3 linked regions of the Notamacropus eugenii genome follow. The protein of the gene in region 3 interacts with the protein of the main gene of each other region in a biochemical or structural test. Links are inferred from orthologs where the notes say so. Each region holds a gene or a part of one and is shown on either strand. Other genes may lie near its edges. The genes, in order: KLF10, PML and SP1.

The links.
Region 1: the proteins of SP1 (region 3) and KLF10 form a complex in vitro, tested with the Homo sapiens proteins (2 studies listed by BioGRID). The link is inferred for Notamacropus eugenii from reciprocal best matches to the Homo sapiens genes SP1 and KLF10.
Region 2: the proteins of SP1 (region 3) and PML form a complex in vitro, tested with the Homo sapiens proteins (2 studies listed by BioGRID, with this or other methods). The link is inferred for Notamacropus eugenii from reciprocal best matches to the Homo sapiens genes SP1 and PML.

What each region holds. Positions count from the first base shown.
Region 1 is NC_092875.1:148,185,493-148,189,236, forward strand, and holds the start of KLF10 (Krueppel-like factor 10), read left to right. Parts: upstream 1-850; 5' UTR 851-967; coding exon 968-1,360; intron 1,361-1,858; exon of another isoform or gene 1,859-2,130; coding exon of another isoform or gene 2,131-2,136; exon of another isoform or gene 2,137-2,156; coding exon of another isoform or gene 2,157-2,192; intron 2,193-3,687; coding exon 3,688-3,744.
Region 2 is NC_092872.1:242,512,506-242,516,249, reverse strand, and holds the start of PML (protein PML), read left to right. Parts: upstream 1-1,256; 5' UTR 1,257-1,332; coding exon 1,333-1,350; exon of another isoform or gene 1,351-1,363; intron 1,364-1,593; coding exon 1,594-1,718; intron 1,719-2,596; coding exon 2,597-2,828; intron 2,829-3,744.
Region 3 is NC_092874.1:226,345,600-226,349,343, forward strand, and holds the start of SP1 (transcription factor Sp1), read left to right. Parts: upstream 1-1,497; 5' UTR 1,498-1,639; coding exon 1,640-1,646; intron 1,647-2,547; coding exon 2,548-2,684; intron 2,685-3,073; coding exon 3,074-3,744. UniProt on the Homo sapiens protein: Transcription factor that can activate or repress transcription in response to physiological and pathological stimuli.

The sequences.
Region 1 (3,744 bases), on a different chromosome or scaffold from region 3:
ACGCTCTACTGACACTGGCTTCACGCTGCCGGGCAGCCGCTGATCACGCGTGGTCCCCTGAGCCCATTGGCCGGCGCCTCACACACCTTTGCAGCTGATTGGACCAGCGCAGGCTCCGCCCCCGCCCCCTCCCTCGGCGCTAGGCAGGCTGAGCGGCTACCTGAATGGGGGGGGTGGACAGACGGCGAGGAGCGCTGGAGCGGCGGGAGCGGCAGCGCGTGTCTCTGGTAGCCCGTCACTAGCCAGCCATGCTCAACTTCGGGTCTTCCCTCCAGCAGCCTTCGGTGAGTTGTCCCAGTATCTCCCTGCAGCTACCATTTCTCCAGAGGGCCACGACCCCCCGGCTCCCTTACTCCTGGCATGCCTGAGCAGAGGAGCTGCTGGAGTCCCGGGCGGGGGGCTCGTCTTCTCGCCTCTTGGCTGACCAGACCGAGAGGACGTGGGGGATCGATAAGGGGGTGTCCGAGGAGAGGAAGGGTCTGGAGAGGCATTGGGATTCTGGGGCAGGTAGCTCTGATGAAGGATGGACGGAAGAAGGGGAGGGGGCTGCAGGGCCAGGACAGCGGGGAGGGTGGGGGCCGCTGGCTGGTCTGGCACCTGGAGGAGGGGAAGGCGTAGGGGCTGCCCGGTAGGTAACCGAAAAGGCGGGAGGGATGAAAGGAGAGGAGAGGGGTGCAGGGATGAGAAGAGCGGGAAGGATGGGGACAGAAAGGGTGAGGAGGGGAGGCGGCTGCCCCTGGGGACATTGAGGAAAGGGCGGGTAGGGAATGGGGAGGGGGGGCCGAGTTACTGATGCAGAGGGTCGAGTACAGGTGCACTGACGGGGGCGGTACGTCTGGGAAGAGAGGGCCCTAAATTTGGGGCAAATGGGGAGGTGGTACGCAAAGCAGGAGGTGGAGGGCTTTCCGCTTGGGGGGAAGGTTAAGGCTATATACGAGTTAAGTTTGGGGGGTCCTACTGGGGGCATATGAGGGAGCGGACGGGCAGGGGGCTGTTGCAGGACATTTGGAGCGGAGGACTAGCGGGGGCGGGAGCTGCGTTAAGCGAGGGCTGGAGGGCTCCGAGCGCGCCCAGTCCGGGAACAGGAGGGAGGACGGGAGCTGCCCTCCGCGGGGGTGCAGACAGGGGCGGGCTACTGCCCCGCAGGGTGTCGGAGCGCGAGAAAAGGGGTTGTGGGAGGGACGAGAGCGGGGCCGTGGGTGGCAGGGAGACACGCCGCGTGGGGGCCGAGCCCCGCTCAGTCTGGGAGCTGGGACGTCTCTGGGGGCCGCCCGTCTGGGAAACCGTGTCAGAAGGAGTGGCGGGGGCCGCGCCTCCCGGAAATGGCCGGGGAGGGGGAGCGTCCGTGGAGGGCTGCGAGGTGGTCTGAGGTCCCGGGGCGGGGGCGGGGAACGCTGGAGGAGGAGGGAGGAGGAGGGGGCGGGGGCGGGGGCGGGCGGAGCCCAGCCCAGCCCGGCCTCTATCTGAGCGCAGCCAGGCTGGGCGTGGGGGCCTCGGGGTCAGCGCTCGGGCCGGGGGGCGGGGCTGAGGCGCGCCGGGTCCCCCCGGACCGGCGGCTGAGGAGAGGCGGGGGGAGGGTTTCCGCGGCGGTGGCGGCTCCGGCCCCTCCCGGCCGCCCAGGCTGGAGGGGGCTGGGGGAAGGGAGTGGAGCCTCTCCTCGTCCCCGGGTGACCCAGCCCTTGCCTGTTGGGGCGGGGAGGGAGGCCCAGCCCCTCTGTCGGTTCCTAAGGGAACCGCGGCTGGCTGGAGGCAAGAAGAGGCGGGGGAGTCTCCTTCCCCCTAGGCGGGGGGGGGGGGGGGAGGAGGGTGCGGCGCGGTCCCCTCCCCCCTCCACCCCCAGTCCTCCGGCGCGGACTGCTGGGAGGTTGGCGGCTGCCTCCTGTCCCCTCCTCCCTCTCCCGCCCTGACGCGGGGGCGGGTTGGGCCCTGCGGTCTCGGGAAGTAGGTGAAAGGTGAACGCGCGGCAATTCCCAGTTCACGTTTCCTGCCAGCCCGGGAGCAGCCGGTGATCACGCTTTGTTCACATGCCTCCAGCCCCAACCCCCTCCTCGTATCGCTCCCGCCCCCTTCTTGGAGCTAGCCAATCCCGATCCACGCCGCCGGTCCGGACGGGCCAATGGCAGAGGAGGGATGCGGGTACGTGCGAGCAGTGAGGAATGTCCCGCCCTGAATCGCCCTGGAGCCTTTTTGAGGTTAGGGCGGCCCCCTCTGGTTGTTCTCGCCCGAGAGGATCTCCCCCGCTGTCTGCCAGCCCCCCCTTCGTTCTCCTCCCTCTGTCTGCCTCCCCTGCTTCCCCTTCCTGCCCCGCTCCCTTTCCTCCCCCTCCCTGTTCCTGTTCTCTCCCGGCCAGCTTTGGAGTTCCTGCCTCTGAAGCGGGTCTACCCGATGCTTGTCCTGACTTGGAGAAGCCTGGGTGGGATGGCACTAGGACCATCCTGTCTTTCAGGGTGGGTTTTTTCTTTTAAATTATTACTAGTTAAGCTCTTCAATACTGCACTTCAGCTTCGAAGAAATAACTATTTTTTACCACGGAGGGAAAAGTGGTTTTGAGTCCCTTAGGTCCCCCAACTCGTGCAAGGGAATACAGTATATTAGTATATGGAAAGTATGTATCTACCAACTGGTATTTAAACCCAACCAAACCTGAATAGCTGCGCGAGTTAATTAAAATATGAGAGCCAAGCTTTCGGTTATTCAGAGGCTGATTACTCACTTTAGCCAGGCGTTTGGTTTTTATATCTTGTAATGCTTGGTTTTTACTGCTGGGCCATAAAAGGAAAAGGTTGCAGGTGTGCAAAAAATAAAATAGTCTAACATGAAGCTTAGAGTTTTCTGAACATTACATTTGACCTCCACCACAGATAAAAAGAGCAAAAACTTTCGAGATCATCTAGTCTCCAAGATTTTAACAACCTTTTTTTGTGTGTCATGGACGGCCCCTTTCTTAGCATGTTTTTAAATAAGCATCAAATAAAATTAATAGGAATGCAAAGGGAAAGAATTCTATTGGAATATAATTTTTGAAATTCAAGTTCATGGACCCCAGTGTAAAAACTCCTGATATAGTCCAATCTCACCATTTTACATTAGAAAATAAAAGCCCAGAGTGACTTGTTCCAGTAGAGTTTGAGTCAAAATTAGAACCTAGGTCCCCTGAAGCCTCAGTGCTTGGTTCCAGTTATATCTCACTGCTTTTATAAGAAAAAGATAGGGTAATTTTTTTTCTCTGAGAAATTCATACTGCACAAAAGAGCTCACAGAATTTTTGCAGTCTTACAAATATCTTTTTACAAAAGGGGAACTTAATATATCATGCACACACCCTAAACTATCTTGTCCAAAGCTATTTAGCGTGTCATTTGGTTTCAGATCCACCTCTCTTGATTTACATGTAGTTAACACAAATGCAAATTTTATTTCTTGACCATTATATTAGTTAACATTTAGGCTTAAAACCTAAAAGGTTTTTTTGTTGCTACTAACACGAGTTTTCAGTCTCCTGAAGAACAGCCACTTTATTTTTGTCTTGTCTGTCATAATATGGAGGGAAAGAAAAAATAACTTTATTTTTTAATATCAAGTGGTGTTCGGGTAACTCAGGTGTTTTTTTCCTAAGTTATACTATAATTTAATTTACCATTTAATTGTTAAAAGATAGTGATAATTTCTGATTTTGTCTTTTTGTAGGCCGAAAGAATAGAAATGATTTTTGAAAAACCAAGAGAAGGTAGATGTTCCTGGAAC
Region 2 (3,744 bases), on a different chromosome or scaffold from region 3:
GACATTTGAATTCTCAGTGCATGTCCATCAGAATTCCTTCTTGATTGTGGCCCTGGTTGTGAGGGGGGGTGGCACATTGGGTACTCTTCTTTCTCCCACTCTCTCTTTATCTGCACACTTTCTCCCTTAATTCCCATATGACAGATTTCACTTTTATTCCCAGAGCGTCTATAAAGGATTCTGGCATGAAAGTAAAATATGTTATTCTCCCCAAAGTCTTCCAAAGCTACCTAGCCATCCTCATGTCTTCCATACCATTTTTTATCCCTTCCTGCCAGTGTGACCTCTCTGAACTTCAGCATCCTCCAGCTCCTAGGCTGCTATGAACCTTCAGGAAGGTATTGTAGACCACCAACCTGTCTTGCACCAGTAATCTTTCTTCTTGGCTGCTTACTGGAAATCCAATATGAACCATTGACATTTATAAGCAGCCCCACTGACAAATATTTATTGAAAAAAAAAAAAAAAGAAATGTGAAGCCTTTTGTAAGTGATTAAGAACTTACTCTTACTCTTACAAACTCCTTAAAGGCTGAGATTATGTTATATTTATTTTTAGATCTCCCATAAATTCCCTAACATAGCATCTAGCACATAGTTGGAGTTCAGTAAACGCTTTCATTAGACCAGTCTGGGGGTGGGGAACTTGTGGAATCCATGGGATTCAGTCAAAGGGTCACACTTGGGGACTTGTGGGGCCACATGGAGGCCCTCAGCTTCGAAGGTTCTCCACCCCTGGACCAGTCCTTGGGGACTCACACTTTGGTTGAGGAGTCAAGAAATAACAGGATTAGAAAGCTACAGCTGAACTACGGTGTAGAATCCATCCATGTGCAACAGGAGGTAGCAAATCAGACATTCTAAGGGACCACCTAGTCCAATCTCCCCTTCAGGGAACTGGGGAAACTGAGGCATCTCAGAGAAATCAAAGGACTTGTCCAAAGTCACACGGATAATAAGCAGCAGAGAAGGGAATGTGAAGCCCCCCGCTTCCAAATTCAGCGATCTTTGGCTTGTACCGCCACGTTGCTTGGGATTTGGATACTGGAATTGGCAGACCAATGGTGGAGTCCAAGGTCTATCATTAACCTGCTGGGTGACCCTCCTGAAGTCGCTGAACCTTTCTTAAACATCCAGTTTCTCATCTGTAAATCGAGGGGGCTGGACTATCCTTCCGGCTCTTGAGATTGTGTGAAAGGGGTGGGGGTGAAGTGGGGGCGGGGCGGGAGTCCCTTCCGTCTCCTACATACTATGATTCAGAGATCAGCGTTGGCAGTGGTGGTCAGAGAAGGCTCCATCTTGAAGGTTGAGGAGGGGGAGCAGGCCTCGTTCAATGAGCACAAGTACAGAGGTGGTACAATTGAGTATGTGCAGAAGGAGAGGGGGGAAGAAGGAAAGGGGGGAAGAAGAAAAGGGAGGAAGGGAGAAGGGAGAGAAGAGGGAGGTGGATAGATGAAAAGACTGCAATTTAAGCAGGACCGTAATCCTTCTCTCTAGCCCCTCTCCCTTGTCTGTCTCAGCTCCCCAGCTTGACTGGGAGCTCCCGGCGGGCAGGGATCTGTCACCTCCTGAAGCTTTTTTCTTCTCTCCCCAGAACAGCACTCAGGGTGCGAAAGAGGGGGTCGGAGATCATTGTCATCCGGAACTGCATCCTGCACTGCCATCCTCCCAGGTCGGTCCAGTCCAAGGAGGCCAGATGTCCCAGAACGAGGAGTCAGGGTGAGGCTGCCCTTTGCTTCCCATCCCTCATCCCATCCCCTGCCTCCCCCAATTGTCAAGCCCCCCTCACCCCGCCCCCTGGCTTAGCCTCTCGGCTCAGACAGAGAAGGCAGGAGCATCTTGCAGGAACCCTGGGGGTCTCTGTTGCTTGACAACAGCTTCTGTTGCCGGCTCTCGGTACCCAGCTTGACCACGTAACCCTGCACCTTCCTCCCCTGTCCCCTTCGGGCAGCCCCGACTCCCGGGGCTCCTCCCTCAGCATCAGCATCAGCACCTGTCTCTGCCCTTGATCATTGTGAGCTGGAGGGACTGTGGGCTGCCTCCATCCCTAGGACTCAAGAAGGGTCAGGGACCTCCCTGGAGCCCACCCAGTGCAGGTGCCCCTGCAGTACCCACTGGACCAGACCCATCCCTCTCCGTTTCTTCTCCTTTTCGTCTTCCTTCTCATCTTCCTCCCCATCTTCCTCCCCACATTCCTCCTGTTTCCCCTTCTCTTCCTCCTCATCTTTTTTATTCCCATCCTCCTCTTCTTCCTTCCCTCCCCTCCTTTTTTCCTTCCTCCTCCCCTTCTCCTCTTATCTCTCTCTTCCTCTTTTATCTTCCCTTTCTCCTTTTTCTTTCCTTTCCCTGCCCTTTCCTCCTCTTTTTATCTTCCTCTCCTCCTCCCTTCTCCCTTTCCTCTTTTTCACTCCCTCTCCCTCCCGTCTCTCTTTCCTCCTCTTTTCTCCCTCCCTCACCCCCCCTTCTTCCCCTCGGTGTTCTAAAACGTCAGCCTCCAAGGTAGGCGGGCTCGCGGGGTGCTCCTCCCAGATGCCGGGCTCCCCCAATGCGCATCCCTCGCTGCCTCCCTCTGACCCTCTCCGCCCCGCTCCTTCCAGGTCACCTGCTGAGAATCGAAACTGTGAGGAGCTTTCCATGACTTCGGAGCGGGCCACCTCCACCAAGCCCGACCAGATGGCAGACCCTCCACCACCTTCGTCCCCTCCTCCTCCCATCCTGGTGTCGGTGGCCACGGCTTCCACCTGGACCTTCCCCAACGAGCCGGTGAGTCCTAGCCAGCCCGAAGCCAGCACCAGCGGCGGCACCAAAGCCCGCGCCAGCACCGAGGAGGTGAGGGCGGGGGCAGGTACCTGGGGCCAGGTAACTCACCTGAAGGGTGGGAACCTGGGAGACAAGAAGGAAGGGGTTCGCATTCATGAAGCACCTACTGTGTGCCGGGCGCTTTACAGAGAGCATTGCATTCTATAACAATAGTGACGATTGCTAGTGTACCTTCTATAGCCAGGCCTGTACTAAGGACTTTACAAATATTATCTCATTTAATAAGAATAAAAATAACCAGCTTGGGTATAGCTGTGTGCTACTGTGTGCCAGGCCCTGTGCTAAGAGCTTCACAAATATTTCAGTCGAGCCTCACAACCACCTAGGAGGCAGAAGCTATTATCAGCACCCCCATTTTACTGAGGCAGACCAAATGAAGTGACTTGCCCTAGGTCACTCAGCTAGTGATTATCTGAAGATCTGAACTGACAACAACAATTTGTACATAGAGCTTACTGTGTGCCAGGTACTGTGCTAAGTGCTTTACCGTTATAATTTCATGTAATTAAGAGTAATTGTCATCGCTAGCGTTTACATAGTGTCTATTATGTGCCAGGAGTCATACTTAGCCCTTGACAATTGTTATCTCATTTGTTCCACTCTGGTAGGTGCTGTTATCATCCCCACTTTACAGATGAAAAAACTGAGGCAAATAGGTGAAGTGACTTGCCCAGGATCCTGGTAGATATCCAAGGTAGAATTTTAACTCAGGTCTTCCTGACTCCATGGACTACTAGGTGATGCAGTGGATAGAGTGCTGGGATGGTATCCGGAAAACTCATCTTCCTGAGTTCAAATCTGACCTCAGACACTTACTAGCTGTGTGACCCTGGGCAAGTCACTTTACCCAGTTTGCCTCAGTTTCCTCATACGTCAAATGAACTGGAAGAGGAAATGGCCAACCACTCCAGTAACTTTGCCAAGA
Region 3 (3,744 bases):
CCTCTCCGGCTCGGGCCTTGGCCGCAGCCTCCTCATGGATCCCTTCTGCTGCTTCCGCAGGCCTCACCCAGACTGTCTGCTGGGACAGAACTACAGAAAAGGAGGAGAGCCTTCGGGGTGCCCCGGCAGCTTCACTGCCTCCCCTGGCAGACGGGGTTCCTGGGCTTCCCTGAACTGTCCCCGGCCTAAGGGAGGTCCTTGATGCTTCCCCCCCTTCCTTCTTTCCTCCCTCACATCCGTGTGCATTTTACTCATCTGAGTTAATCTGGTTTTCCCTCGTTCACAGTCTTATGACCTTCAATAACGTCGATGTACTTGGTGACCTTGCGTCCCCGATTTCCGGCATAGTTTGGATTGATTAGGGTGGAAGCCGGCGGAGGGGACTTCCCCAGGCCTTGTTCTGTGGAGGTACTCGATCTGAATTTGGTTCGATGGCGGGGGAAAGAGGGAGCCCCGCGTGCCCAGAGCCTAACCAGGGGTAAAGCTGGGGTAAGCAGAAAGGAGGACGGAACACGTGCCAGGAGCGACCTCCGGCTGCCCCTCCCCCTCCCTCCTTCCCTCCTCCCTTCCCCCCCCCCCCCCCCCCCGGAGGGCCAGGCGTGGGACGCGGCGAGGGGGTGGGGGTAGTTTCCCAGAGCTCCAGTCCCCGCACGGGCCAGGGCGGAGCAGGAGCAGGGCTAGGGGGACGGAGCGAGGAGGAGGAAGGGGGCGGGTGGGCTCCCCACACTCCGCCCCCGGAGGCTAGAGCCCCGCCGCCAGCTCGCTTAAGGCTCGTGAAGACGCCTAGGTAAAAAAACAACATGGCGGCAGAGGACTATTGGCACAACCCCCCATTCCCTCCCCAGTACAAGGCGCCACTGGCCAACGCCCATTGGCCAATTTAGGGCGGTGCCCGGCTAAATCTGTTTCCTCATTGGTGGAAGGGATTCAGGGGAGGCCGATTCCGCTCTCTCAAGCTCTGACTTCCCTCACAAAACTTATTTCGTGGTTTATTGGTTGTCCTGTCACGTCAATGTAAATTTAGTCCCGTCCGCTTCTAGGAATCTTCCAATGATGGCTTGCCCAGGCACCTTTCTGGTTTGTGATTGGTCACCTTCAGATAAATCCGCCCCGTGTGCGCAAACCTGTACTTTGCGGAGCCATGTCCAAAACTCTGATTGATCCTCCCTCTCGTCATTTCTACAAAAATCACCCAATCCTTGCGCCGTAGAGAGCCCGCCTGGTTGTTGATTGGCGAATTCACAAGTCCATCTTTAAAAGGACCCACCTCTCTCTTCGAGACCCATTTCTTATTGGTCTTTCGAAATGGAGGGCCGATCCTATGAGGCAAACGCCAGCCACGCAACGCCCTTCTGCACAGCGGGTACCGCCCTAGCGAGCCAATAATCCTTCCCATTGGTCGATCGATCCGCCTCTCTTCCGTAAGTCCCTCTTTTCCCCCTCCCTCATTGGGCGGGGCAGCGGCCGATGGGCGGGGCCTAGGCCGGGCTTGTGGCGCGCTGTTCCCTCCTCCTCACCCCCCCCTCCCTGTCCGGTCCAGGTTCGCTTGCCTCGTCAGCGTCCGCGTTCTCCCCGGGCCCCCCCTAACCCCCCCCGCTGCAGGACCCCCCCTCCCAGAGCTCGTGCCCGCGCTGCCACCATGAGCGGTAAGGATCCGTGCCCTCCACGCTGGGGGCTTGGAAGCGGGTGAGGGGGCGCGCGCGCGGGCCAACCGGGCGGTCCCCGCCGAGAGGGGGGGCGGGCGGGAGGCGGCGGCGGCGGCCTTGGTCCCGCCCGGGGCGGAGGGAAGGGGAAGGGACGAGGGAGGGAGCGAGCGAGAGCCGGGGCAGTGGCGGGGCCTCCGAGGGGGAGGGGGGATGGGCTGCCCGCCCCGGGGGAGGGGGCAACGCGGCCTCGCCCGCCCCCTGCCCGCCCCGGCCACGGGGGACGGGCCTCCCCCGGCCGCCGCCCGCCCGCCGGGCGGCTCGCCCGCCCCAGGCTCCTCCGGAGGGGGCGCCGGAGCCCCGCGGGCCCCGCCCGGGCCCTCCGCCTCCCGCCCGCCCGCCTTGGGGCCGCTGCCGCCGATGCCGCCGCCGCCGCCGCCGCTGCTGCCCCCGGCCTCCTCCCCCACCCCGCCGTGGATCCCCCCCACCCCTTCGGGGGGCCCCCCCACGGGCCCGCCCTCGTCCCGCCCATCCCTCCGAAACCGCCCTGGCCCCCCTCGGCCCGCCTCCTCTCCGCCCCCGAAACCGCCTTCTCTCCTTCGGCCCAGGGACCCCCACCCCATCCCCACCTCGGGCCGCCGCCCGGGCCCCCAACCCCTCTTGTCCCCCCATCCCCCGGAGGGCTCCCGGGCCCGGCTGCCATGCCCAGCATCCCGCCTCCCGCCTCCCCGGAGCACTGGCCCCTGCTCCCCGGCCGCCTCCTCGCGGCGTGCCCGGAGACCCCGCTGCCGCCCCGAGGCCGAGATGCCCGAGAAAGGGGCCCCCGCAGGCCAGCCCGGCTCGCCCCCCTCCGCCCCCCGCCCTCGCCGCCTCTGAACGTTGTGGCCTCTTTCATCTTCTCCAGACCAAGATCATTCCGTGGATGAGATGCCCGTTGTGGTGAAGATTGAGAAAGGCGTCGGCAGCAACGGGGGCGGCGGCTTTTCCCAGACCCGCAGCAGCAGCACCGGCAGCAGCAGCAGTGGAGGAGGCGGCGGGCAGGTGAGTGCGGCCCGGACCTTGGGCCTGGCAGCGGGCCTGGGTGCGCTTGGGCAGCGAGCGGACGGGAGCCTGCCACTGGGGCGTCCATTGAGCGGTTCGGGGCATTCTCTCAAGCGCTAGCACGTCTGGAGGCCAGGGCCTTGACACGGAGCGTGAGTGGTTCTGGCCTCAGATTGTGTTCCGTGGTAGTGCCTGAGAGACCCACGCCTTGGTGTGCTTCTTCAGACCGTTCTGGACCGCGCACTGGGTCCTTTTTGGACTTGCCTGACTCCTGTGATATGTTAGTGTTTATGTTTCATGTAGTAGACCGTATTTTGTCTTGTGTTCTTGGTGTTTGTGTGACTGACACGTGACACATCGATAATCTCCTTCCTTTCCTCTCTGACCAGGAGTCCCAGCCATCCCCACTGGCTTTGCTAGCAGCCACTTGCAGCAGAATCGAGTCACCCAATGAAAACAGCAACAACTCCCAGGGCCCAAGCCAGTCAGGGGGCTCAGGTGAGCTGGATCTCACAGCAGCCACACAACTCACCCAAGGTGCCAATGGTTGGCAGATCATCTCTTCCTCTGGGGCTACCCCTACCTCAAAGGATCAGGGTGGCAGCAATAGCAATGGTAGCAGTAGTAGTGAATCCTCCAAGAACCGCCCAGTTTCTGGTGGACAATATGTTGTTACCACCACCCCCAACATACAGAACCAGCAAGTTCTGACAGGACTTCCTGGAGTGATGCCTAACATTCAGTACCAAGTAATCCCCCAGTTCCAGACTGTAGATGGGCAACAGCTGCAGTTTGCCACTACTGGGGCCCAAGTGCAGCAAGATGGTTCTGGTCAAATTCAGATAATACCTGGGGCAAACCAGCAGATTATTACAAATAGAGGGAGTGGAGGCAATATCATCGCTGCTATGCCAAACCTGCTCCAGCAGGCTGTCCCCCTCCAAGGCTTGGCCAATAACGTCCTCTCGGGACAGACTCAGTATGTGGCCAATGTCCCAGTAGCACTGAATGGGAATATCACCCTGCTGCCTGTCAATAGTGTTGCTGCGGCCACCCTGAC